Linked DNA regions of Sus scrofa. The protein of the gene in region 1 interacts with the protein of each later gene in a pairwise test. Links are inferred from orthologs where the notes say so. Each region holds a gene or a part of one and is shown on either strand. Other genes may lie near its edges.

The links.
Region 2: the proteins of SH2 domain-containing protein 4A-like (region 1) and DBNL interact in binary tests that used the Homo sapiens proteins (3 or more experiments, as listed by UniProt). The two-hybrid records come from large-scale screens. The link is inferred for Sus scrofa from reciprocal best matches to the Homo sapiens genes SH2D4A and DBNL.
Region 3: the proteins of SH2 domain-containing protein 4A-like (region 1) and RINT1 interact in binary tests that used the Homo sapiens proteins (3 or more experiments, as listed by UniProt). The two-hybrid records come from large-scale screens. The link is inferred for Sus scrofa from reciprocal best matches to the Homo sapiens genes SH2D4A and RINT1.
Region 4: the proteins of SH2 domain-containing protein 4A-like (region 1) and GRB2 interact in binary tests that used the Homo sapiens proteins (3 or more experiments, as listed by UniProt). The link is inferred for Sus scrofa from reciprocal best matches to the Homo sapiens genes SH2D4A and GRB2.
Region 5: the proteins of SH2 domain-containing protein 4A-like (region 1) and CEP70 interact in binary tests that used the Homo sapiens proteins (3 or more experiments, as listed by UniProt). The link is inferred for Sus scrofa from reciprocal best matches to the Homo sapiens genes SH2D4A and CEP70.
Region 6: the proteins of SH2 domain-containing protein 4A-like (region 1) and MTUS2 interact in binary tests that used the Homo sapiens proteins (3 or more experiments, as listed by UniProt). The two-hybrid records come from large-scale screens. The link is inferred for Sus scrofa from reciprocal best matches to the Homo sapiens genes SH2D4A and MTUS2.
Region 7: the proteins of SH2 domain-containing protein 4A-like (region 1) and NUTM1 interact in binary tests that used the Homo sapiens proteins (3 or more experiments, as listed by UniProt). The two-hybrid records come from large-scale screens. The link is inferred for Sus scrofa from reciprocal best matches to the Homo sapiens genes SH2D4A and NUTM1.

The regions. Positions count from the first base shown.
Region 1 is NW_018084867.1:67,350-71,571, reverse strand, and holds the start of SH2 domain-containing protein 4A-like, read left to right. Parts: upstream 1-1,422; 5' UTR 1,423-1,545; intron 1,546-1,718; exon of another isoform or gene 1,719-1,773; intron 1,774-4,222. UniProt on the Homo sapiens protein: Inhibits estrogen-induced cell proliferation by competing with PLCG for binding to ESR1, blocking the effect of estrogen on PLCG and repressing estrogen-induced proliferation. May play a role in T-cell development and function.
Region 2 is NC_010460.4:48,712,835-48,715,673, reverse strand, and holds the end of DBNL (drebrin-like protein), read left to right. Parts: intron 1-171; coding exon 172-267; intron 268-365; coding exon 366-484; intron 485-669; coding exon 670-766; intron 767-1,222; coding exon 1,223-1,362; 3' UTR 1,363-2,339; downstream 2,340-2,839. UniProt on the Homo sapiens protein: Adapter protein that binds F-actin and DNM1, and thereby plays a role in receptor-mediated endocytosis.
Region 3 is NC_010451.4:105,423,853-105,427,275, reverse strand, and holds part of RINT1 (RAD50-interacting protein 1), read right to left. Parts: intron 2,869-3,423; exon of another isoform or gene 2,312-2,868; coding exon 2,131-2,311; exon of another isoform or gene 2,058-2,130; coding exon 1,939-2,057; exon of another isoform or gene 1,701-1,938; intron 1,006-1,700; exon of another isoform or gene 853-1,005; coding exon 660-852; 3' UTR 519-659; coding exon of another isoform or gene 482-518; 3' UTR 1-481. Other genes in the region: EF-hand calcium-binding domain-containing protein 10, read left to right, coding at 482-518. UniProt on the Homo sapiens protein: Involved in regulation of membrane traffic between the Golgi and the endoplasmic reticulum (ER); the function is proposed to depend on its association in the NRZ complex which is believed to play a role in SNARE assembly at the ER.
Region 4 is NC_010454.4:5,939,234-5,943,522, forward strand, and holds the start of GRB2 (growth factor receptor-bound protein 2), read left to right. Parts: upstream 1-1,489; 5' UTR 1,490-1,620; intron 1,621-4,289. UniProt on the Homo sapiens protein: Non-enzymatic adapter protein that plays a pivotal role in precisely regulated signaling cascades from cell surface receptors to cellular responses, including signaling transduction and gene expression.
Region 5 is NC_010455.5:79,384,141-79,388,396, reverse strand, and holds the start of CEP70 (centrosomal protein of 70 kDa), read left to right. Parts: upstream 1-1,456; 5' UTR 1,457-1,613; intron 1,614-3,502; 5' UTR 3,503-3,596; coding exon 3,597-3,605; intron 3,606-4,256.
Region 6 is NC_010453.5:6,202,815-6,206,314, forward strand, and holds part of MTUS2 (microtubule-associated tumor suppressor candidate 2), read left to right. Parts: intron 1-2,063; coding exon 2,064-2,304; intron 2,305-3,500. UniProt on the Homo sapiens protein: Binds microtubules. Together with MAPRE1 may target the microtubule depolymerase KIF2C to the plus-end of microtubules. May regulate the dynamics of microtubules at their growing distal tip.
Region 7 is NC_010449.5:80,156,698-80,160,781, reverse strand, and holds the start of NUTM1 (NUT family member 1), read left to right. Parts: upstream 1-1,284; 5' UTR 1,285-1,321; coding exon 1,322-1,463; intron 1,464-3,214; coding exon 3,215-3,923; intron 3,924-4,084. UniProt on the Homo sapiens protein: Plays a role in the regulation of proliferation. Regulates TERT expression by modulating SP1 binding to TERT promoter binding sites.

The DNA.
Region 1 (4,222 bases):
GTGACACCCATCCTATGTGTCTCTGACTCACCAAGGACCAGCAGGAAGCAGAGGCTCAGCCCCTGTCTCCTGCCAAGGGCCCGTGGCCCAGACCTACTCTCTGTAGGAGTGTTGCTGCCATGTGAAGGCGACAGTCCTCCACAACGCATTGCAGATGCCAGAGTCGGAAATGTTTCCACTGAGAGCATGGCCCAAAGGGCAGAAAATAATTCAGGGCCTCGTAATTACATAACAGAGCCCCTTGATGTTTTTTGGAGCAATTTTACCATGTGGAGCATTTGAACTGTAACACATCCTGCATACCTATTGTGTGTCTGGGTGTTGGGTAGGATTCAAACCTTCCTGGGGTAGATTAGTCCTTACTTGATGTTTATGATTTCAAAGAGGTATAAAACATAGAGCTGCTGTAGCAGGCAGTGCTGCAGGGAGGATGGCAATGCAGGCCCTGGCCATCTGTTCCCTGCAGGCCCCCAGTGTCACCACTGGCCTGGCTCCTGGCAAGTGTTCATTAAATGGTTCTCAGATGTGTTAAATGCTCACTTTACAGTTCTTCCACTGCCCATGCAAGAAGTGTTAGGCTTCCTTCAGAGCTGGCCACAGCAGCGAGCCAGGGCCAAATGACACTCCAGCCAGAAAGACCCTAAGGGGCCATTCATTTAATAAGCAGTGGAACCAAACTGAACCAGGAATTCTCCCCAGATAGGATCTCCAGAATAGCCTTTAAATAGCTAGGCAGGAGGACTGACCTCTACCCCAAGGCTCTAACTTCTGTAGTACGGGAAGCCTAGAAATGGGAAGGTTTCATTCTGAAGGAGCAAGTCAGGCAGGCTGCGTGGAAGAGGACCACATCGCAGTCTATAACCTCTCTCCCTGACACCTGCACCATGGGGTCACCAAAGCAGGCTGTTTGCCGCACACATTCTGAACGTTTCCTCTAGAAGGAACATGCCCCCCCAATGTTTCCACGCTGCTTCTACTGAACTTTCCTCCCAGATTTCCTTTTCCCTCCTCGGCCAGCTCCTCCTCCTTCAGCAACCACCCCAACCTGACTTGGCCGCTGCTCTCAGCATTCCTTTTCTTCTGCCCTTCTCTTTGGATTTCTTTCATTTTCTCTCCCCGTCCCCGCTGTCTCCAGTCTCCATCTTTCCAGCTGTTCTCCTCTTTGGTCCTGTCCTCCTACAAAGCCACACCCCTCCGGACAAGTGCCCAAGAGTTTGGTAATTTTCTCAAAGTCAACAACAACAACAACAACAACAACAAAAAGTGAGCTCCAGAGGCGCCAGAACAGAAGTTCAGCCCGCGGAGCGAAGAAAGGCCCGCCCGCCGCCGGCTCAGGCCCCACCTGCCAGGAAGCCTGGTGCCTGGCCGGGATCTCACCACCGTCCGCAGGACGCGCGCGGCGGGACCAGCCCCGGTGCCGCAGGTTCGAACGGACGGGCGGGCTGGGGACGCGCTTGGCTCATGTCGCGGCCGCGTGTCTGTGCAGCCGACTGCTCCTTCTCCTCCCTCGGCACCCGATCAGGCGGCCCAGCCCCGCGCAGGCAGGTGCGGGCCGGGAGGGGCCAGATGCGGCCAGTGAGTGCGGGCGAGCGGGCGGGCGGCGGGGGTGGATGTCCCCGTGGGTTCTGGTCCCGCTGGCGCGCGGCGCGTTCCTCCGCCGGGGGGTCAGGTGCTGGCGGGGCGGGCGGGCGAGTGTCCGGTGTCGGTGTCCGGTGTCGCTGCACCGGCGGGAGAGCAGAGGCGCTGAGGGCCGGCCGGCGGTCGTGGTGAGGGGTACGCGGGCGGCGGGGCGCGCGGGAAGCTCCTGCTGCAGGCGGCCGCGTCCCCCGAGGGGCGCGAGCGGGGCTGCCAGGGAGGAAGCGTGCAGAAGGCCGGCAGTGGCCCGTGGGGGTCGCGGGCGGAGGGAAAGGCCGGGTCTGAGGGCGCTTTCTGCCTTTGAGGGTGCGGGGTGGGGCCCAGGGTGGGCGCGCAGGGCCCAGGGTGGGCGCGCCGCCCCCCGGAAGGCGGACCAGACTGTGGCCGCAGGTGGCCTGGCCGTGACCTTTCCCTGCTCTCTCCCGCCCTCTGGTTCACGCGGGCTCCCCAGAGGTGGCATGAGGGGCAGCGAAGAGGGCAAAACTGTGCAGGTTTGCTCAGAATTGTCTTACCCTCCCAAGAGTCACTGGAAGAGCAAGTGAACTCCCCTCCTCTCTTTCTAAACTTGGAGTCTGCTCACCTCCTAAAAGGCTTTGTTTGATTGCCTGTTTAATAGAAATGACTTGGGATACAATCATTATTTTAAGTGAATAAGTGAGTGAAGGCCTATCCCAGGTACAGATTTGGCATGTGAGAGGAATTTCTGGAGAAATTCACGTACAGCGATTTTTAAATACCTGAAGAATGGTATGTATTTATCAAATTTACCAAACTGCTGTCACCCATGGTAATTTGTTTTATCCTCAAAAATAGCCCTTTTGCAGATAGATTAACAAGGTAAAGTTGAGTAAGAGCATGGAAAGTCTGGAAACAGGGCTTTTTAAAAAGAATTAGAATTCAAACTATGTTTTTAACATTAAAGTACACTGTCCATATTACAATATTTTTATGATTTAGGCGTATCTCTGGTAAAGTAAGATCTCAGAGTCATTCAAAATACAATTCTTGGAGTTCCTGTTGTGGCTCAGTGGTTAAGAACCTGACATAGTGTCCACAGGAGACGGGTTGGATCCCTGGCCTTGCTCAGTGGTTAAGTGAGGATCCTGCATTGCTGCTGCAGCAGCATGGATTGCAGATGCAGCTCTGATTAGACCCCTAGCCTGGCAACTTCCAAATGCCGCCGGTGCAGCTATAAAAAATACCAAAAAATATAATTACTGTTTATAAAACAGTGGCTCTGGGAAATATGGGTGCCATGACCCTTTGAATTTTTGGAAAAAAAATAGCAGATGTGGACTCTTTGCTTGTTGTCATTTCTGTGTTTTAAGAATAGTGCTGCTCAGGAGGAAAAGAGTTAGCTGAGTTTTCCTTTCTACTGGATCTTAAATAACTGGGTAGCACTCAATGAATTGGATACGGAAGTTACCTGTGTTTGATCGTATCAAGCACTGATTGTCAGGGAAACCAGGGGAAACCCCTGGTTGGTTAATTTCCTTGTTTCTGTTTCCGCTGACCCAGCCCCACTTGCGTCTGGAACTCCGCACTATAATGTAGTGTATTCCTAAGATGACAAAGATTCAAGTTCAGGCTCATTTCGTGGCAAGGAGACTGAGTCCGAGGAAGGGAAGTGACAACGCAAACATCCACAGCTCAGGAGAGGCAGAGCTGTGAGCCGAGAGCTTCCTGTGCTGTGTTTGAGGAAGGAGTTCCGTTCACGCTGGTGGGTGTTCACAGCCTCCGAGTGGCATGCATATTATTCAGCCTCACCCCACAGAAAGGTTGTAAACTATGTTCCCAAGTTTCCCCTGAGGACAGGGGGAGGCCAGTGTCTTTCCTTCAAGATCCACTTTAACGTCAAAAATCTATTTGTTGCAAAAGGCAAAACGGCACAAAATCGCAGCTGTGAGGTCTTGACTGTGTCCCTTCCTGCCATCCTTCTGCCCCCTGCCCCCAGTGCTGCTCTTGGGGGTGGTAGGAGGGGGACTGAGGAGGCTCAATACTCAGTGACTGACTGGGCATCAGTATCTGCGCCTGCGCCAACATGACGTCACTTCCCGCCATCTTTCCGGGGTGAGGGCTTTTCAATGCCCAGCGTCCCCAAAGCCCACCTGCAGTTACAGAGATGAGGCTTCTGCCTCCCAAGAAGGACCCTGCCTCATGTACCTTCGGTTCACCGTTTCCGCTGCCTCTAGAATTTGCTGGTTTTCATTCTGAAACTTCACCCGTGGGGCCTCATCCTGATGATGTTCTGATTCTGGGCTCACGGAGAAAACCTCCTGCAGTGACGTGGAGCCAAACCGCCCAGTGCCGCCCCTTTCCATCTTCTGTGAAATGGGCAGAGGGAGGGACTGAACACCAAGGTTATGGTGAAGGTTCATAAGTTACTGCATGTGCAGGGCTCAAGGTGGTGGCTGCCCAGCAGGAGTCAGCGCTTGTCACCAGTGCTGGAGGGAGGGGGCGCTGTGAAGGTGGCACGTGCCAAGTTGTAGTTTTTAGGCTCTCCCCACACCGTCGGTGTTGCTGTCACCCAATTCAAAATGGGGAACAGAGTAGAAGTTTCCAGCTTCCCTGAGCAGCTCCTTCTCCA
Region 2 (2,839 bases), on another chromosome or scaffold:
GTCATGCACCTGCTGCGGCTCCCCATTCACTCCCTGGGTGACAGCCGGTGGCCCAGAGCAGGTGCACCCTCCGGGCAGTACAGGGCACAGCGAAGCCAGAGGCTGCTTGGCCCGTCCCTGCTGCGGCGGTGTGATGCTGTGATATCCTGTGTGTTTACCACTGGTTTGCAGGCAAGCTGAGGAGCCCCTTCCTGCAGAAGCAGCTCACCCAGCCCGAGACCTCCCTCAGCAGAGAGTCAGCCCCTGCCGCCTCAAGGCCCGCGGCAGGCAAGACTCCCGGCTTCCCCGGGGGGAGGGAGGTGGGGAGGGGGTTGGATGCCCTCTCCCCTCCCCAGGGTCAGCGTGGGCTGTGTCTTCCCCAGCAGATCTCCACGAGGAGCCGGTGCCCAGCGCCCCTCCGTGTCCTGTGCAGGTGGAGGAGGAGGAGGAGGCTGTGTACGAGGAGCCCCCAGAGCAGGAGACCCTCTACGAGGAGCCTCCAATGGTGGGTTCCCTGTGGCGGGGCCAGGCTGTGAAGAGGCCCCAGGCGCAGAACTGCTCTCCTTGGCAGTTCGACGATGTGCCATGCCCCCCACCCCCCAAGTCTGTCTTGAGCCCTGGCCTTGGGCAGGGTCGACTCTGGGGTCACCAGGACCCCAGACCTCTCCTTTCTTTCCCATCCATGGGCAGGTGCAGCTGCAAGAGGCCAGTTCGGCACACGTTGACCACTACCCAGGGCTGAGTGGCAAAGGGCTCTGTGCCCGGGCCCTGTACGACTACCAGGCAGGTAACGTGCTATAGCCCAGCCGCCTTGAACCGTGGGGCCCAAGATCAGGAGGCAGGATTTGGGGCTCCCTTGGGGGAACGGCCCCAGGGGGTGTTGAAGTGAGGACGGGAGGGCGGGTGGGTGCCCAGGCCTCCCCATGTGCTCTGGGCGCCTACTTCGTCTCCACTGGGGTCGATCCCAGTTGCCTGCCTTGTTCTGGAGCCAGGGAGTGACCACAGAATTGGGCCAGGCCTGGATGCCAGTGTCCCTGCTGACCCAGGCGGGGGCCTCGGGGACAGGCGGCCCTGCAGCAGTGCGGTCTGGACTCCAGCCTTTCGCTGGAACCCCGGACCGAGGCAGACCCTGTAGCAAGGGTGTCCTGGGCGAAGGGCCACAGGAGTGGCATCAGGACAGGCTGGGGGCAGCCCCCAGGGTCCCAGAGTCCCCAGCAGGGCCTCTGGGCTCACCTCCTTGCAGCCGACGAGACCGAGATCTCCTTTGACCCTGAGAACCTCATCACGGGCATTGAAGTGATTGACGAAGGCTGGTGGCGCGGCTACGGGCCCGACGGCCACTTTGGCATGTTTCCTGCCAACTACGTGGAGCTCATTGAGTAAAGACCCCAGTTGCTGGCGAAGCGAAGGGCTGTCCGTCTCCACCCAGACGGGGTCTCCTGGTTGCTGGAAGAGGTGGCGCAAGGAGTGTGTGCGGTGCTTTTCCAGGAAGGGGACCCCTGATGCGGACGAGCCCTCGGGCTGCCTCTGGCTTGGGTGGCTCCGCCTCTGTTACCCCACATGCAGCAATAACCTGGTGATCTCCACATGTGCTTCCACCAGCTCCCCAGTCCTCCCAGACAGCCTGGCCCTTGACCCCCCTCAGCAGGGCACACTGAGCCAAGTCCTCCCCAGGGCCAGATCCCCAGGGACCTCTGCCCAAGAAGTACGGCACTGCTGTGCTGCGGGCTCTGAGCAGGGGCATCCGGAGGCCGCCTCCTGCATTTGCCTTCTCCTCCTTTCTCTCTTGGCTCTAAGGGTTGGTGGCGGTAGCTGTTAATGACCCTTGGGAACAGTGAACTGAAGAGTTTATGACCAAAGTTGGGGCAGGGATCCACGACAGTTTGGGCAGCAGGTGTTCGCTTTCTGAACTCTACCCTGTGCTCCCCACTTCTCTGCCCCTCTGCCTGGGTGGTGGGCGGTGGGCAGTGGAGATGGGACCGACCAGACCCCCATCTGTGTGTGCAAAGGAAGAGGTGAGAACATCAACAGACGACGTGGCCTTCCGCGTGGCTCACTCCTGTCTGCCGGCCCATGTGCTGCTCAGTCGATCTGGGTCAGGAACAGGTACCATGGTGGCCGGTCCTGCTGTCTGCCTTATTTCCGCCCCAGCCCACCCTTACCTGCTTTTGGAGTCAGAATTGCCCCACGCGGGCCCCAGCTCTGATCCATCCTGTTACAGCCTGAATCCCCCACCACCACCCCGTGGAAACAACCCCCTTTCTGGTGTTGGGGGTAGGGGTGGGTGAGTCACCTGTGCAGGCTGACCCCTGGCCAGTGTTAGCCACCCTGAAGGGGCATAAAGGTTAACGTGACTCAAATGAGCCTCCTGCATTTCAGTTCTGTGGGAGGGGCCGCCCTGATCCTTGCCATGGGGGGGCTTCCCCCCAAGCCAGGCACTTGCACCCCCTGGGCGTCTGGGGAATTGCAGCTGAGCTGCAGGCAGGCTGCTGCATGTCCTGGTTTCTTGGGGCTGGGACTCAGGCACCCCCTTGCCCTTCCCACCCTGGGGCTGCCAGGACAGCAGAGGATGACCGGTCCCAAGGCCACAGCGCGTGCTCGTTTTGAGGAGGGCTGGGTGCCTTGGGCTCTGCCCAGATGACCCCAGGCACTGATTAGGTCAGGGTCACCAGACCAGGTGGCTCTTCAACTTTCCGGGCTTGTCAGGAGCCACCTGATAACCAGAGAGCCTGGTCCCCAAGGTCCCCACCCCCAGTGGGGGTGGGCTGGGTGCGGCGTGGGGGCCTGAGGCCACGGGTGTGAGGCTCCCAGGCTCCGGGCCTGTGGAGCAACCCCCGAGGGAGTGCTGGGGAGTGGGCCT
Region 3 (3,423 bases), on another chromosome or scaffold:
TATAAAAATACATTTTAAAGTGATTTTTTTTAAAAAATGTATTTGTGGGAGTTCCCTTCATGGCTCGGTGGTTACAGAGCCCAACTAGTATCCACGGGAACGTGGGTTTGATCCCTGGCTTCACTCAGTGGGTTAAGGATGTGACATTGCCATGAGCTGTGGTGTAGGTCACAGACACCACTCACATCTGGCATTGCTGTGGCTATGGCGTAGGCCAGCAGCTACAGCTCTGATTCAACCCCTAGCCTGGGAACCTCCATATGCTGTAGGTGTAGCCCTAAAGAGACCAAAAAAAAAAAAATCTATTTGCTATGTTAGATTACCTACAATAGTCTCCCTTAATTGGCATAGGAAATTAAAAGTCATTTATAATTTATTATCTCTGCTCTTGTATTTTCTTCAGTAAACATAGTCATCATTTATATTTGTAAATGGAATTACTCTTCAGTTTTCATGGCTTGTGAAATTTTTCTTTTCTTAGGAACAAGAGGACTCTGGAAATATGGTCAGCATTTTAATAACATTGTAAGTCCACGATGATAAATGATTCATTCTTCAGTTGTCCAGTTTCCTCAATTCCGAACTTGATCATACAATTTGAAATCCAACTGGCTTGCTCTTTGTTCAAACAGAAAAAAATCCCAAAACATAAAGACACTTTATTTTCCAGTGTTAGGCCAGTTTGTTCTCAAATTAAGGAGAATCTCAACATCTTGTTGAGCCAGTTTATAAATACCAACTTCATTTAATGCTGCTGCAGCAGGAGGCTGCCCTGAAGTTGACTGCAGGACATCTCTCAGAAGTAAAGCAGAACCAACATTCAAATTTAAAATAATACAGGCTTCTTTTACACTGTTTAAAAAAAAAAAAAAAAAAAAAAAGGAGGGAAATGAGATCTCCATTATCTTTATCATTCATATAATCCTGTAACAATTTCATTTTGAAAAACCAGTTTCCCTGCACTACTAGATCATATGTCCTCTATAAAAACTATTTATGGATTAATTTATTTGGCTCTTTTAATGTGTAATTTGTATAGAATTTATGTTTCATTAGATTACTGTTAGGTAGTAGGATCATTGTCTTCAATATGTATCCATTACTTCCCAAAATATGATACTTGATGTTAACAACGTATTAAATGTGGATAAGACTTTAGGTGGATTAGGATATAGGAAAAGAGAAAATTAATGGATAAAATAAAAGCAGAAAAGTATAAAATTAAAACAAAAAAGCAGAAAAAGCAGAAATAGATACTGAAATGAGCAAAAAAAATCATTTAAAAAAATCTTTTTTATATATTTAAAAGAAATACTTCATAATCTCAAAAACCTCCTAAATAATTTAAAATTTACATCAACAGTTTCTAAAAATACTCCTAAGACTTCCTAAATATATTTTTAGTTAGCCAAAATTTTATCAGATGTTTAAGCAAACAAATTTTATTCAGGCCTGGCCTATTACTCAGTACTAAACATATTTTAAATTTCTTCTATTTGTCATATATGGCAGAACTGCATCTACTTTCATTTTCTACTTATTTCTTAGTAATAAGCAAATAGGAACATTAAACCAAATGTTAGAAAACAAAGCCCAACATACAATTTATATCCAGTTCTGGCCAACATTTTGGGGGCCATGGGTCACAGCTTAGATTATTGGTACATGATGCATTTTTTTTCTTTTTTTGGCCATGACAGCACCATATGGAAGTTGCCGGGCCAAGAACTGAACCCAGCTACAAGCAGCGACCTGAACCACTGCAGTGACAAAGCCAGATCCTTAACCTGCTGCACCACAAGATGCACATTTTTAATTATTAATTGATGCTGTATATATTTAACATCGCTAGAACCCTAAAGTGTTAAAAAAAAAAAAGGAATCAACCTCCTCTAATAATTTGATACATCAAAATTAATTTTTAAATATTAGGCTTACTGTTTAAAATAATTTTCTGGTCTCTTGCAATAGTGGGAAAACAAAGGGAAAAGGTTCCGAGTCATGTCAAAGTGCAGCTGAGCCGCTCCTCCTTCATTGAAATGATTGGCAAGAATTATCTGAAAAAAGGAACAATTCATATAGCAGTCACCTTTATCACCACAGTCCCCATTACAGTCTGCTCTTACTTACTTCTTGGTAGATGTATATGTCCAGCTTCTCTACAAGCATCTGCCAGAAAATTTTAAATAAGGAGAAGCAAAGCTGCTGCTCCAACTGAAGTAAACGGTCTCGTAGAGTAAGCAGCAGTGGGCAAGCCGAGCTGGACAGGGACATCACCGCCTGCTCTGACTGAGACGGCAAGGACAACCACCTAGAAAAAAAGGAACAGTGCTGCTTGAAGCACATTAATTTTTATTATGAAATCTGTCATCACTCTATTTCTAAAGATTTTACAAATCATTTTAAATTTGGGGAAGTGCACTGTCCTGTGGCATTTTGGATAAGAAAAAATGCACAGTCCAACGTTAAAAGCTCTCTTAGAAAGTTAATGTACTTGTGTTTACACTAGTTCTCATATGTATACTAGTTCTTAATGAAATACTTTTTACTTAATAAGGATGATAAATTTTTTAAATCCCCAATTTCAATAGGACTCACTGATATAAAACACTTAAAATGCAACATGCATTAACATTTGAGATATCAGCTAATTTTATGCTCTTATTTTCAGCAAAACAACAGGGACTAAAAACACTTTCAAACTGGGAACGAGTGCTCTGTGTCAGGACAGTGCTGGGACAGACACTGCTTGCTCTCAAGGGGCTCACAGGCTAGAGTGGTAACAGGCGTCACAGGGCATCGTGACAGTGGACTAAAGGATAGTGCAAGCATGCACAGGCACTCGGAAGTACCTTGCTTTGAAAATGGGTGACAGGGTAGGCCATTCAACCTCATATCTTACACCCACCCCCTGTATTTACAGACATACCTGAAGATTAAGTTACGAGCAGTTTATTCTGATTAAGAATGTCTGAAAAAAAATTTTTTTAATAAAAAATAAATGAATAAAAAGGAGTTCCCACTGTAGTGCAGCAGAAATGAATCCAAGTAGTATCCAAGAGGATGTGGGTTCAATCCCTGGCCTACCTCAGAGGATCTGGTGTTGCCACAAGCTGTGGTGCAGGTCGCAGACACGGCTCAGATCCTGTGTTGCTATGGGCTGGCAGCTGTAGCTATGATTTGACCCTAGCCCCAGAACTTCCATATGCTATAGGTGTGGCCTTAAAAAAAACAAAAAGGAAAAAAACAGTTTGGACTGCAAAAGGCCAAACTCCGTGTTACCTAGACACCTTGGAAATCTGACTATATATGTCATTTCCTTTTTCTTTTTTGGCCGCCCCACAGCATATGAAGTACCTGGGCCAGGGATCAGATCCGAGGCACAGTTCCACCTATGCCACAACTAAAGCAAGGCTGGACCCT
Region 4 (4,289 bases), on another chromosome or scaffold:
AATACTTGGTGAAAGAATAATTCATACTCTTTATTTCAACGGGCTTGTTTTCTTCAGGGAATCATGTTTTGTTTTGTTTGTCTTTTTGGCCTTTCTAGGGCCCAGGCTAGGGGTCCAATCAGAGCTGTAGCTGCCGGCCTACGCCAGAACCACAGCAATGCGGGATCTGAGCCGCGTCTGCGACCTACACCACAGCTCACGACAACGCCAGATCCCCAACCCACTGAGCAAGGCCAGGGATCGAACCCGCAGCCTCATGGTTCCTAGTCAGATTCATTCACCACTGTGCCAGGACAGGAACTCCCACGTTTCTTAATTTTTATATCTTGCTCTTTTGGTGGCTTCCGGAATTCACATCACCGTCAGATGCTCTGTTCTCTCCTTTGATTGGGACTGAAAAATAAGAGTTACTCCTCCAAGCCTCATCTTCTGCCACTACCAGGTAACTCACCCCGCCTCATACAGGAATCAAACTACTTCGCGTTGCAGGGAACACGATGCCCACGCCTCCGTTCCCTCGTACGTGCGTGCTGTTCCCTTTGCCTGGAATGCCCTTGCAATGGCTTCTCTGGCAAACTCCTACTCATCCTCCAAGACAGCTCAGATAACGCCACAGCGTTCTCCGAGAACGCTTTTCTGAGATGGGAGGAGCGGCGACCCCTCGCCTCTCCTCAGCCTTCTCCAAATAATTCTGACCGTACTTATGGTATTATTTGTTCTTTCCCTCCTATAGATCTTGAATTCGTTTCTGTGCAGAAAGGGCCCGGATTTCTGTTCTTAGTTGGACCCTCTATACTTGACACAGTGCTTAGAATGTACTAGGCACTTGGTTCAATCGATGAGCGAACGAATATGTTCATTCACCTAACGCAGCAGAGTTTGTTTGGACCAGATTCTCAAATATTTCCAGACCTGATCCTCTATTTGGCTTGCTTCACGTGGGAGGGAGATTCCCCCCCAACCCCGCCAAACTGGGTTGGTGGAAGGGGAAAACGAAGTGATTAGGGTGTGCATAAAAGTCCTTTCTTGGCTGGGGGAAAAATGTAATTGTAATGTATACATGTAAGGATAACCTGACCCCCTTGCTGTACAGTGGAGAAATAAAAAAAAAATAAGTTGATATCGGCCATCAAAAGTAATATGACAATTGAATCATGCAAATGTGGGGCATAAAAAAAAAAAAGTCCTTTCTTTCGGAGGTGAGTTGTAATTGACCCGCTCTGGCACCGAAAGGGTTACGGCGACCCAGGGGTGGAGCCCTGTCGGTGCCACCTGCTGCGGGGCGGCCTGGCGCCTGCGCTCTGGCCTGTAGCTGATCTACCTGCGGGGGGCCTGGCGGAGGAGGAGCGCTTGCGCTCTGGGCCTTTTCCGCCGGGGGAAGTCTCGCGGGGGCGGGGCGGGGCGGGGCCGCACAGGGAAGTTCTCGCGGGACCCCGACCAGGAGCGGAAGCGAGGCGGCTGTGCTGCTTCAGCTACCGGACCGCGGCGGCGACGACGAAGACTGTGGCGGTGACGGCGGCGAGAATAGGCGCTGCCCTCGGGGAGCAGCAGAGGGGTCTGCGGCCGCTCGCACCGCTGCAGAGGGGCCGGCCGGGCGTGGAGCGGAGCAGCTGCGCCACGGTGAGTGTGGCTGGCGGCGACGGCGCTGCTCGCGTGCTGCTTCCTCCCCGCTTCGTCGCGGGAGTCGGCCCCGGGGGACCGGGCCCAGGGTACCGTGGGCTGCCGGGCCTGGGGGTCGGGAGTGCGAGGCTCCGGGCGGGGAGCGGAGCGCCCGGGCTCCGGGCTCCATGTTTCCCCTTTTGGGGCGCTTCCTTCCCGGGGACCGTCCTCTCAGTACCCTTGGCTTGGAACAGAGCCCTGGACGAGAGGCTGGGGGCTCCTGATTTAATTTTATGCTTTCTTCGTGAAGGTTTGCACAGGGGGGACCCGGAGAAGCCCGAGAACACAGGGTAATCATTCTGTGAGTCAGTGTGACTTGGCCCGGGAGGCGGGGGATTCGAGGCGGGTTGCAAATATGGTGATTGATGCTCCTTCGACCTATACGGCCACCACGTCACCAACTCCTGGTGTTTGGGGGCCGAATTTTGGGAGGAAACCCACCAACCCTATTAATACTGTGAGCGAGGACGTTTGTTACCGGAGCCAGTAGAAATACCTTTACTTTTATTGCGCTTTTTTTTTTTTTTTGACTGCTTCCCTAAAAACATTTGTTAAGAAAAGTAAGCAGCAGTTAATCGGAATGCTCCGAAGAAAGATTTCCGTGATCGAGGGCAGAGAATCGCTGGCACTTTTCATTTGCAGCTCTCTCTGTGTATAGGATTGTAAAGCCATGCTAGTTAACAGCTTATTTAGGGAGTTCACCTAGGCTGGCTTCAGATGCAGCAAAAGTATACTTTGCAGAAGAGCCGAAGTGCCCTCGCGGGTTCTGTCTTTTGCTACTCTTGAGTCTCAGAAGAGGGTGGAAAAGAAAGGCGCACTAGAGAAATTCGCTTTAGTCTTCTGGGCTTTCTAGTCCCTCTGTTCACTTTGCACTCCACAGTTGCTGCCTTTCTAAACTTCTCCCTTGTCTTCTGCGGCCACGAAATGCTTACTCCGTATAATGCAAGTCACTTGCCCCCTCCCCCCTTTTAGTCTAATCTACTTCCCCTTCCTCCTTATTGTCCCTTTTGGCATAATTTTTTGAGGTTTCTGCTCTTTCGCCCGTTCGTTTTTCTCCCTCATTTAAAGATTCCGTTTCTCTCCCGGAAAGATGATGCCCTCTTCCCTGCTTTATCCTTTGCTGTGAAGCGTCCACTGTGTTTCTTCAGTCAGCCAGAAGGGTTGCTAGAGAGCTGTGCGAGACTTAAGGTCTCCCCCTGGGAGCTGGGAGGCTCAAAGGATTGAGTTCAGCCGTAACCAATACTGCACTAATACTGCACTAGATCACAAGTGTAGCTTGCTGGTGTTTTTGTGTTTTAGTTGTTTTTTTTCACTTTTAGATCGCATTTTTGTGCCTGCTCAGGTTTTTCTATGTCTCTCTTATGTTAGTAAGGAAGATTGGGTCAATTTGGGGCTCATATGCCTTCTTTTTGGCTTTTAGCGGGGGAGGCGACTTAAAAAATGAAAACCAACCATAGACACCTATATTACAATCAAGAGAGCTTGAACCATTTAAGGGAATAGAATTTATTTAGACTACTGATGAATTAATTAAAGCTTGCCTGTTGGAGTAGTACTAACTTATTCTTTCCCAGGCTTTTAAAGATCAGGTGTCTCTTCCTGCATCTGCTATAAGCAGCCTTCTTTGTTATTGTTGCTGGGCTTGAGGGGGGAAGGCGGTTGACAGAAAGAAATAACTATGTTCTGTTGGCCTTTCCTTTGTTTAAAATGTTCTGAATCCCCCAAATTTAAAAAGGTTAATTCTTGTAATCAGCTTTGTTTGTTACTAAAAGCAAGCACTCAAATGCTTGAGGCAGTTTACTTCCTCAGCAAGTGTGTTCAGATTTGAGGGATTACTAGGTTTTTCAATACAACTAATTGATGGTACTTAGAGATTTTTCCCCGAAATTCTTGTTACCATGTTGCACATTGTGTAGCAACAGTTCTAATGGTTACTTAGAACAAAAAAGTAATAGATTTTGGAGAAATGAAGTAATACGGAATAGAGACCCACTATGGTTTCCTGAGAGAAATTAATAGTTATTCGCTTAATTCAGAAGACATTTCTGGCACTCCTGAATGACTATTGAGAGCCTTTGTTTTTTTTTTGTTTTTTGTTTTTTGTTTTTTTTTTGTCAAAGTTGGCTTTTTCACAGTTGTGCCAAGTGGATAGGCGTTATTTTCAATTTATGCAAAGACATTATGCATCATCTGAGATGTAAACTTTAAAATCTGGTAAAGATACCTTTACAGTACAGCATGATTTTTTAAATTTAGCATGCATAAGAATTACCTATGAATCTTAACTTAAAATTAGGTTCTGGAGTTCCCGTTGTGGCTCAGTGGTTAACAAACCTGCCTAGGATCCACGAGGACGAGGGTTCGATCCCTGGCCTCGCTCAGTGGGTTAAGGATCCAGTGTTGCTGTAAACTGTGGTGTAGGTCGCAGATGCGGCCCCATCCCACATTGCTGTGGCTGTGGTGTAGGCCAGCGGCTTCAGCTTCAATTCTTCCCCTAGCCTGGGAACTGCCATATGCCACAGGTGCAGCCCTAAAAAGACAGAAGACCAAAAAAAGAAAAAAAAAATTAGGTTTTGGGCCTAAGGCCACTGTGCTGCAGAACTTCAGAAGGCACCTCGTAGTGAATCAGT
Region 5 (4,256 bases), on another chromosome or scaffold:
CTTCATCTTTTGACTATTTGGAAACTACGGGTTGTCAACAGCGACACCGTGTGGCTATAAGATGCAATGACAATGGCCGCCAGACCTTCGCCTTAGGTATGTGGCAGCTGGATTTTCCCCTGAGAATTTTTGGGTCACTTAACCAGCTATGAATTTTTGAAAATTTTGGGCAGGGGCCCTATTTGTAGATGATGAATTTATTAAAGTGATAAATAGAGGATTTAGTTGATTTCTTTTTGTGGGAAAAAAGATCAGTGATCATATTTGTGCACTGTGGAGACTTTTTTTTTTAAACCCAGTTTTGTAAATAGTTTTTACTGGTTTACTATATAACACATATATAGTTTTTACATATATATAAAACAAATTATGCATGAAAGCTGTGTTTGAAGATACCCAAATTAAACCCTTTCCATTTTATATTCCATTTGAAAATTGATCTATGTTTCCCCATCATCTCCAAGATAAAGTCCCAGCTCTTCAGCACATTTGCTAAGACCTTCCTCTTATTCTCCAATATGCAACACACTCCTTAGCTTCCTTAAGAAGCCCATTATATTTGCCAATGTTTTGGGAGCTAGGCTTTTGGGGAGGGCAGATATGACCTGTACCAAGGAGCTCAGGTTTAATTACAGAAAAAAAAAAAAGTGAGATTTACTGAGCACTTGTGAGCTAGGCATTGTAATAAAGTGGTTTGGAGTTATTAATTTGCACATGAGGTTTCTCCAAATACCTTCTCCTATCTGTATTACTGGGGAAATAATTCCAAATCATTCTTATGCATATTTCTAGGTTTGTAGTTTTCTGCCTTGGAAATCACCTATTGAAGCTGGGGTTCCGCCCTGCAGATTCTGATTTAATTTGTTTTGGGCTTGAGCATCATTTTCGAAGCTCCTCAGGTGATTCTAATATACAGCTGGGGTGAAGACTTTAGCGACGGATGTAAATAATCTTTCTTTCCCTTCCGTGCCCTGCATACCTTTCCTGATCATGTCTTATCACATTGCACCTTCTTTTCAGGGTGTATATCTAGCTCCCTAACTAGCCTCTGAATATCCCCAGTCAGCCACTTTTGCATTTCTGGAACGCGATTTATGGCCTGACATTTGGCGGAAATTTGGCAAATGCTGAATGGGAAGGTAAAATGTCCTCAAGACATACTTATTTCCGTGTGTGTGTGTGTGTGTGTGTGTGTGTGTGTGTGTGTGTGTGTACGCACGCGCTCGCGCGCCGACCGCCTCAAATGTGGATTTCTGAAGTTTTCCTGGCAAATGAGGACCCAGGTAAGCGAACAGCAGTTGCGAGGAGAAGGGGTCCAGCAGCTGTGGAGCACAGACGGCAAAGCCGCAACAGCAAACTATCGCTCACTTTAATGGTAAGCCCCGCCCCCAGCAGCAGAGCCAACCAGAGGGCACGGAGCAATCCCAGCCTTCCTGGGCGGTCTGAGAAAGTCGCTAGGGCTTTCAGAGCCGGAGCAGAATCGGGCTCGTCGATGAGCTCGGGCTCGATTGGCTGGCCTCCCACGGTGGAGTAACGGTCGTAGAGGCGGGGCGGGAGGCGGCTGAGCCGGCCGGGCTGGGCGAGCTGCTGTAGAGAGGCGGCAGCTGAGGAAGGTAAGCGGCCTTCGGGGTTCACAGAGGCTTTGCCTGGAGCCCCTGCTTGAGCTTCCACCGGAAATGGTCTCGTCTGCGCAATGCGAGTGGTCATACTGACCCTTACTGGGGTCCCCAGAGAGGAGCTGCCTGGGACGGGTTGGCGCCAGTTAAAAATCCCTGGATAAGGAGTTTGGGGGCGGGTGGGGGGAACCTGATCGACCTGGTCCTAGTCCTGGCTCCTCGCCCCTTGTGATCTTTGGCTCCTCATTTAACATCTCAGCGCATCAGTTTCTTCAGTTGTAGACGACAGCTGGTAAATCTTTCCTTACAAGGTGGTTGAGAAGGTTAATTGAGGTAGTGAGTGTGAAGCTTGGACGGATACCTGGCGCAGCCTGGATTCTGGATAGTTGTTGGTAGTTACTCCGTCCCCATGCGCTGGCCGGGGGGTCTCGCCCCACGTTTCAGAATCTAGGTGCCTGGGAAGGTAACTTGGCGAGTGAAGGCTCGTAGCAGAAGGTGGGGGATACACAAAGGGGTAGGTGAGTAATCCCTTCTCTGGTTTAAGTAATCTTTGCAGAGTTGGAGAGTCTCTTTATGTGGAATCTAATATGATTTTATTAAGAAAATCAGTGAGATGGAAATGTTGAAATGTAGAAGGGTTTCTGTACCACTTTATTTTCTATACATAATAATGGTAAAGACTGTGCGGGCATTACCTCTTTTGGCCTCAATCTTCTTCTGCATGAGGTTTTGTTTTGTTTTTACTTTTGGTATTGTCAAGTAGACCCGGGCCTTCCCCACCTCACCTTGGGAAAAAGGTGGCTGGCTGGCTAGGGTTTTGCCCGCAGCTTCTGCTTAGTGGCCTATTCTAACCTTTTATGTAACCTCTCCTGGGGCAGGATGATTTAATCGAGGTAAGATCCGATCCTAATTCTGTTTCCTTAGATTCGCTTCTTAGGAACGTTAAACAGTGTATTGGTATATTTTTGGGATGGCGCTTTTGCATTTAACAGACAATAGAGACTTTGAAAGCATTGCACATTCCATTTATTGCAGTAAAGTGAAATATGTGCTTTTGAGAAAGCTAATTACAGGTTTTGAGGTGACTCAAAAAAGAACAGCTACCAGCCATGCTTTATTCCCAGCTTGTCCCCAAAAAAGTAGTGAAAAGCAACTACATTTTAATGTATGGGGCATGAGCCAGGGGCTCCAAACCTATAAGGGGTAAGTTACCAAAGGGCTCTTGGGAAACCTAGACAGTGCAAACAGAACTATGTTTGGCTTCTCTGTGCTTGGTTTTCTGTGGTGTGTATGAACCAACTCCTACCCCGCAACTCCTTTTCCCACAGTTTTACTTTAGGTATCTTATGACACTGCTTAAAGCAAGCCACACCATCTGCTTTGGTCCTGGGAAGCACTGGGTCTCTTCTGGTGACTCACAGACCTGTGTCCTGGCATAGCCCGTAGTGGGGAAAATGCTGCTGCAAACTATCTGTAACATTAATTTCACAGCATAGACCTCTGAAAAGAAGGGCTTTGTCACAGGTGAAATTGATAGTTGTTCTCCTTGTCTTTGTGTTTCAGTACCAGTTGTCTGAGAGTACCCTTGCCAATGAGAATATTGTTTGAATACCTTTGAAGTCAGAATCAGATTTGATGCTAGATGATAATAGAGTTGGGCTCTCAGGTATATGTTTCAACAAAACAAAGAAAGACAAGGGGAGAGAAGGCAAGGGTGAAGGCACGTGGTGGTGAGCACTGGAGTCCATTAGCAGTTGATTCAGTAGATGCAGCTCCCTGTAGTCAGTCATTAACACCAAGAATACCTGCTCTGAGGATAACACAAATCATTCTTAATAGGAGATGAATGTTTAAGATGTGGGCCTGTTTATCTTTTTGAAACCTAGATGAAGATGCAGTTTCAGACGTGAGGCTCACTGGGTGATCATTTCATTCTGATCAACTTGAATGACCAGGTGAAAAGTGTAAGAGGAACGTGCTATGACTGAGGTATGTCTGACGCAATAAATAACTCCCTCTGGATGTTGAGAGGCTGTGGAAAGGATCTACTAATTATGGAATACTATGTATTTATTTCCTTTTGACCTCTTCATAATCCTATCAGATATTTTAAACCCAATCAAGGAAACTGAAGAGGTTAAGTAACTATTTAAGATAGTACAAGTAGCTGGTCACCAACTCTGATCACCACCTGTCTTGCTGTGTGCCAGGCACTGTTCCTTTTGCTTTTATTGTTATTTAACAAAATGTTTTTATTAAAAAATGACTTTTTATTATGAAATCAAACAGAAAAGAACACATATACCAAATGTATAGCTTAATGAATTATTAAAATCTGATACCACCCAGGGTAGGGTGGAGAACTATGCTAGCTAGCCATGCCAAGAATTTGCTTATCCCAATCACAACTGCTTTTGTCCTCTCATTAGTAGCTATTTTTCTGACTTTTATACTAGTCGCCTCCTTGTGTTAGTTTTTTCATAAATCCATATTCTTTGACACTATAATGTAGTCTTGCTCACTAAAATTTTTAAAAAATCTCTTGTAGATTGTTTCCCTATTCCTTTCTTTTCCTTATAATTTATCTAATGAAGAACTTGGTCATTTGACCTATATGTCCTATAGTCTGGATTTTGCAGA
Region 6 (3,500 bases), on another chromosome or scaffold:
TGTGACTGCAGTGAATCCTGCTCTGTCCTGTCAATAGAGATGAAAGCAAAGCATGTGAAGCTTTTTGTAGACTCTCTTGTTTTATTAAAAGTGCACAGATGAGGCATCTGAGGCATACGTCTCACCTTTGTAAAGAATTTGTTATCTTACTAGAGACAAATTACCCAACAAAATGATAGACATTGAAGCTCTTGAAAACATTAAAGTTATTTTTGAATGACAGCGGGGTGGGTTTTTTTTTTTTTTTCTTTTTTTTTAGGGCTGTACCTGTGGCATTTGGAGGTTCCCAGGCTAGGGGTTGAATTGGAACTGCAGCAGCCAGCCTACACCACAGCCACAGCAATGCCAGATCCTTCACCCACTGAGCGAGGCCAGGGATTGAACCTGCGTCCTCATGGATGCTGGTCAGATTTATTTCTGCTGATCCACAATGGGAACTCCAACAGTGGGATGGATTTGACCCCTGGAGTCTGTCCGGTTTGAAAGAACAGAATCATTACTGACACAGAGGACACTGCAATCCTAAAATCTCAGCAGATGTAGGTTAGAAATGATACTGATTTCTTCATGGGAGCACCAGCTAAAAGCAATGAGCAATGACACCAAACATTTAGAAAGTAAAATTTAAAAAAAAATAGAGGAAATGTGAGTATAATAGAAAAGCCGAGGATTGATAGTAAGAGCGTAAGTAGAAAATGGTGAAAATTTTATCAGGCAGCAGATGTAGAATGTTCTTTCACAGGAATTGAATTTGCCGTGGCCTGAATTCCATCTATCTGCTCTAGCGATCATGCATATTTTATAATGTGATTATGATAAAACTTTAAAGGCCTCGTCTTTTGTTTCAATAATGTCAATTTGAGGAGAACTTTGTATCTCTTTCAACAGTCAAAGGGTATTAAATTAAGGGTTTATCGCTTCCACATCCGGGATTACAGCTTTACAGCCCCTATTAAAGAATATGGTTAAACGCCTGTGATTTCTGAAGAGATGGAGGTTTGACTAGTCGAATGCATTGTGATTTTAGAGCGGAGTTAATTAACATCTGTATCTTTTCAAATGTAGCCTCTGGCACTATGTTTTTTGTTTTTTTTTTAACTTAAAAGAAATAAGATTATTTCGTTCTCTTTTTACCGTGAAGAAACACTGATACTGTGAACAGGCTTGTGAGTACAGGATTGCCTATTTAAAAGGTAGCCATCAATAGTATCCTCATCCGCCCTGTGAACCACAGCAGACTGTCACATGGTGTCACGTGATTAAATTCAGGAAAGAAGGAAACACGATCCCTTTAGTTCCCAGAGGTTTGCTGATTTCAGCCCCTGCGCTAAATGCTGTTCTAGGTGCGATGCATTCAGCAGTCCTCACGCAAGACTCTGCCCCCAACTTCCATCCTGGTGAGACTTGCTCAAACATTCCTGCAGGCACCACCTTACTAGGAACGATAATCAGAGGTAGTTCACAGTCTCTCCTTTTTAATTATGGAAACAGAAGGTAGAGGCCTGAGCAAAGACGTCTTTGCATTAACTTCTCCATTCCTCCCAATAACCTTTTCTCCCTCATTAACCGTGCATAGTGTATTTCCTAAGTAGCCTAATAAAGACGTCACATCACCTGATAAAGTTCATCAACTTCACGGAAGACTAGGTCACTAGAAAAATTGTGCCTCTCCTCCTTAGCAATCATGGAACTTTCCGAATTCCATGAACATTTGCTAAATTCTCCTCTTGCATCATTGACAGTCTTTATTTATAGATTGACTTCTTGCACAAATTCCAATGGTTTGGGGGTGATCAAATTTAAAAATCTTATAGAGGGGGTTCTTTTTTCTCCCAGGGAAATATAGTTTCATAAAGTGTTAGAACCAGCATAGACCTAAGAGGGCATCCAGCCGTGGTCCACTTGGAGATGAAGACGCGGGGTCCAGTGAATGTAAGTGACGGGGGGTGGAGCGACTCGATGGTGCCCGGTGGTCATTGCTGGCGCCGTGGTGTCTGGACTGGGTTCAGCACTCGTCCTATGATGCTCGGGTCTCTGACTGAGCTTCTGGTCACTTATCGTAGGTTGCAGAACGCCCTGGAAAAGAGGAATTTTGTTCTCCTCCCTATACGCACTATGAAGTTCCTCCAACCTTCTATCGATCGGCCATGCTCCTTAAGCCCCAGTTGGGATTGGGCGCGATGTCACGTTTACCGTCTGCCAAGAGTCGGATCCTGATCGCAAGTCAGAGGTCTTCAGCGAGCGCCATCCACCCGCCAGGAACCCTAGCGACCGCTGCCGCTCTCTACAGTTCCGACCCTGCAGGTAACCAGGGCCACAAGGGCTGCTTTTTCCTGAAAGATTCATAAAGTGTTAGAACCAGCAGAGACCTAACCAGCATAAATCACGTAAAATGATGGTAACTAAGCATGAGTGCCTGTCCTGCCTTAGAAGATCCTTGTTCTGTTCTTCCATCTGGTTGTAGATACAGACAAGGCTCATCTCTCTGCACCTGTCATCCTCCACGTCACCTTAAAACAATGGCCCTTGTAACCACCACCTCACTTCCTGTATTTTCTCCCTTCTCTGATACATCCTATGGACTAGGGTTTAGAAATTTTTTTTTTTCTGTGAAGGGCCAGATAGTAAATATTTTAGGCTTTGGGGGCCATAATGGTCTGTGTTATAACTACTCAGCAAGGGAGTTCCCGTCGTGGCTCAGTGGTTAACGAATCTGACTAGGAACCATGAGGTTTTGGGTTCCATTCCTGGCCTCGCTCAGTGGATTAGGGACCCAGCGTTGCCATGAGCTGTGGTGTAGCTTGCAGATGTGGCTCGGATCCCACATTGCTGTGGCTGTGGCCCTAGGCCGGTGGCTACAGCTCTGATTAGACCCCTAGCCTGGGAACCTCCATATGCCGCAGGTGCAGCCCTAGAAAAGACAAAAAGACAGAAAAAAAACAAAAACAAAAACAAAACCAAACCAAAAAAACCCCTACTTAGCAAGAAAATAGCCATAGACAGAACGTGAATACATGCGTCCAGCTGTGTTTTCAATTTACAATTCAATTTACAAAACCAGATATAGGCAGGCCTTGGAGATGCTGTGGGTTCAGTTCTGGACCACACAGTGAAGCCGATGCTGCAGTAAAGGGAGTTTTGGCTTCGCAGTGCATTTAAAATTATGTCCACCCTGTAGTGTGGTCTGTTAAGTGTGCAGTAGCACCGTGTCTCACAGAACAATAGATATACCTTAATTAAAAACTACTAGGGACCTCTCTCAGAGTTCCCGTTGTGGCTCAGTGGTTGGCGAATCCGCCTAGGAACCATGAGGTTGCGGGTTCGATCCCTGACCTTCCTCAGTGGGTCAGGGATCCCGCGTTGCTGTGGCTGTAGTGTAGGCCGGCAGCTACAGCTCTGATTGGACCCGTAGCCTGGGAACCTCCATATGCCACAGCAGCGGCCCAAGAAATGGCAAAAAGACAAAATAAATAAATAAATAAATAAATAATAAATAAAAA
Region 7 (4,084 bases), on another chromosome or scaffold:
GTGAGCTTCTATTACCTGGAGAAACCAGGGCTCCAGGACCCAGAACCCCTTTTACTTTAGGGAAGAAAGAAGAAGGTTTTCTTCCCTCCCCTCTTTTACATCCGGTTCCCTCGCCCTATTTCAAAGTATTGGCGGTAAAGAGTGCATGATGGGTATTCAATATTCTGTACAGCGAAAAGAGCGTGAAGTTATTTTATGAAACTGGTGAAGTATGTTTTAATGGTCGAACCAAGATTCAAACTCAAGTCTCTACCACAAATTCAACGCCCATTCTTATAGTGGTGAGTAGCTAATAAGACGCACCCCTTAGGGGTATTTCGAATTTTTAAAAGAACGTACAAATTCTCCTTATAGGACTTCTAGTTAAAGCAATGAATTTGGAACCGAGATATCTTTACGAAGGTGGCCGTTATTATTTATAACGGCAGAAACGTTGTAATATATATTAAGTTTATAACCAGAAAAAGCTGAAAGCTTTTTTAAAAAGAGTATAGTTTGTGTTTATTATAATTGCATAAAATACCTTTGCAAGGATTCAGAGGAAATTTGGTTTTCCCTGGGGTAAATAACTCGGTTCCAGAGGAAAGGAATGGTTGGAGACTTGTTATATTTCATTTTGCATAGTTTGACTTTTGAACCATGCTGACATATTACCATTTAAAAAATTAAGATTATTAACAAAAATTTTAAACAAAAATAACAAACAAAAAGAAGGACTTTTTGCTCTTGAAATTTTAGGCTGAATAGCAGTTTTTGATGGAATGGGAGGCTTTTCAGCCAGGGTTAAGGCTAAGCCTTCTGTGGACTGCAGAGCTGATGGTAGTGGACAGTTTGGGAACTGCAGCACAGCTTTCCAAGGAAATGATATGTATACAGCAATTCAATGCCCTTGATCTTCTAAGACAACCCTAATTTCAAACATTCTGTTCCCTTGATCCTTAAGTACACAGACTATGTGCTCTGAATTTGGTTCAGAAAATACAGCCAACACTGAATTAAGTCAAGGGTTTGCCAGAACCTGTTATTAATAGGAAGTCAGTTATAGAACTGGGTAGCATTGAAAGACAAAAACTAGATGTATTGGTGAAGAATTCTGTAGGGAACCAAGATGTGGTTGGGAATCCAGGAAAGAATCTGCAAGTTGCCCCAGAGAGGTGTGCAACAATTGTGTTGCCATACTCTGATTTGGAGGGAATTCCTGGTTACTGCCCACTTCCAGAGCCCTTTGTGGAATCTCTCCCTAACCCCACCCCATAATGCCACCTCCCCTCCCCCCCTGCAGAATGCCTTGGGTCCTAGATTCTAGTTCTGTTTTGATCTGATGTTTACCATTCCTTCCTTGGATCCCTGTGTATCTACTGGAGCCAGGTTACTCTCTGGGTGCTGGACCCACCGTGTCATTGTGAAGGCTTCCAGGCAGCCACGGTTAGTGCCCAAACCGGAGAGGATGGCTTCAGATGGAGGTGAGTCTGCAGGTGGGGGAGGTTGGGGAGAGTCTACCACCTGCTCACTTCTCGGAGATTCAACACTTGACGCTTCACCTGGGCTGACCTAGAGGGATGTGAGTGCACTAGACCCCCACCCAAGGCGTCACACTTGGGAAGGCTAGGGAAGGAGATTGTGGGAGCTGGAGTTCCCCAGTAGTGCAGCAGGTTAAGGATCCAGTGTTGTCATAATGTGGCTGGGGTCAAGTCCCTGCTGAGATGAGCTTATGATCCTTGGCCTCCCCTCCTCCCCTGGAGGGTGTGGCCAAAACAACAACAACAAAACTGGGGATTGGGGGAGGAAGAGAGCTTCCTGGGTGGCCAATCAAAGTGCCTCAGAGGAGAGTGCTGAGTAGAGAGAAGGGATGGCAGTTAGCAGCTTGCCTCTCTGGAAGAGGGACCCCTTCAACATGCTTCTGTATGGCAGGGGCAGGGGTATGCGTTGTACAAGGGGCACGAGTGTTTCAAAGGGGAGGCCCAAGTCGTGAGGTCTTCTTTAGGCAGCTGGAGCCTGCTCTGGGATTTTGCGCGGAGAGAACTGAGCTGAGGCTGCTCTCCATCTCATTGGGTAGGGGGAGATTGGAAGTCTTGGCTAGAAAACCGTTCAGTGGGGTCATCTGTTGCCAAGTCTGTAGGGAAATGTTCTCCAGGAAGCTAGACTAGAAGGTGCTGTAAGTGCCTCTGTTCAGAGCCTCCTGGATCTGCCTTTAGTTCAGGGTGTGGGTTTCCTTGCTGCCCCAGGGCCAGGGGTGGGAGGTCACTCAGCAGCGATGAGAACTGACACTTTCCAGAGGTGCTCTGTTTTTTTTCCACCTTTCGAGGAGCTCAGGCCTTCAGACCCATTTCATGGTGTTCTGTACTTTGGGGAATATTCCTGGCCCTCTGCTCTAGGCTTCAGGGGAAGTTTGCTGCTCTTCATCATCTCCTTCACGGTCAGGAAGCTGAGTGTTGTTAATTTGCCAGTGGAATATTCTTCATAAGAGGGGGAGGAGAGTAGCATGAAATTAGCCAGATGATCTTCTATTATTATCATTAAAAGTCTTAGGGACACATGTCCCAGTTAATTAAGTACATGTTTTACGTATTTATCCTTGGTTTCTTTGACTAGAGTCCTCCTAGCTCGTGCTCAGCAGGAACTGTGTTTCAGTCTTCGTTATCAGTGCCTTGTTCAAAAGTGGATCCTAAACTTCTGATACTGGGAGCTCCGAACAGAAAGATCACAGATAAAAGTACAACACGTCCAGCAGTTATTTAAAGCTCTGGAAACCTCCCTCTCCACACCGCCCTCCCCAATCCATTTCCTGGCCCTTATCTCTAGTCATTCCTTGCTGTTATGTAACAAATTTCTGGGAACCAAACATATAATCCACACACACACACACCCGCTCCTGGGAATAGTGCTTCTTTGAGTGGTGACAGGGGCCACAGAGCAGCTGGGAGCAGGGTTCAGGTGGTTTGAATGTGTTTGTAATGGGTGGGAATAAAAGATGTCCCTGGATGCTAGGTGGCATGTGTCATGGGGTATGAGCTTATGGTTCAGAGGTCATTGTCAATGGGGAGTAAGGGACAGAAACAGTTGGAGGACATTTGCAAACTATACAAGTTCCCCCTTCCTCACCTGTTGAGAATCAGTGGCCTGCTTCTTCAGGGACTAGAGTGGAACTCAGATGGACGTAACTGCTGGTCTCTTTTTCTCCTCCTCCATCCCCTCTTTTTCTTTGTCTCTACAGTGTCTCCATTGTCAGCACCGGACATGACCATGAAATCTGGCGCTGCCCTGTCTCCTTTCACAGCACTTCCCCTCCCCCAGCCTGCTCCTGGGCCACCAGACCAACCACCCTGGGAGCAGCCCTCACAGCCCCCGATGCATCCAGCATTCTCTTTAGGCAACCCCCTGGTGCTCTCTGCTTTCCCTAGTCCATTGCTGGTAACAGGGGATGGGGGCCCTGGCCCCAGTGGAGCTGGAGCTAGCAAGGTCATTGTCAAAGTCCAGACAGAAGGGGGGCCGGCTGAGCCCTCTCAAACTCAGAACTTTATCCTTACTCAGACTGCCCTCAATTGGATTGCCTCAGGTGCTCCCTGTGGGGGCCCTGAGTGTCCTGCCACCGGATTCCTGACAGCCTCCAACGTGAAGACCCTCCTGCCCACCAAGGCTATTGGAGTGAGCCAGGAGGGCCCACCAGGCCTTTCTGCTCAGGCTCCACTGCCAGCTGCCCAACTGGCCCCCATTGTACCCCCAGAAAAGGCTTGGCCAGGACCACGTGAGACAACTGGGGAAGGAGGTCCTCCAGCCGCCCGATCCAAGCCCTCTCTGGGTGACCTCTCCTATACCTCCAAGGGTGTTTATGAGAATTTCCGACGCTGGCAGCGCTACAAAGCCTTGGCACGGAGGCACTTATCCCAAAGTCCTGATGCAGAGGCCCTCTCCTGCTTTCTTATGTAAGTGCGGAGACCTGAGATTCATTATCCTAGAGGCTTTTCAAGAAGGAGGACTTGGGGATGGACAAAAGAGTTTAGGCTCTTTAGGAATACTTGAAGGAGGGCAGGTCCTGAGGGTGATAGAGATGTTATTGAGAATGAAAATAACAACAGCAGCAATG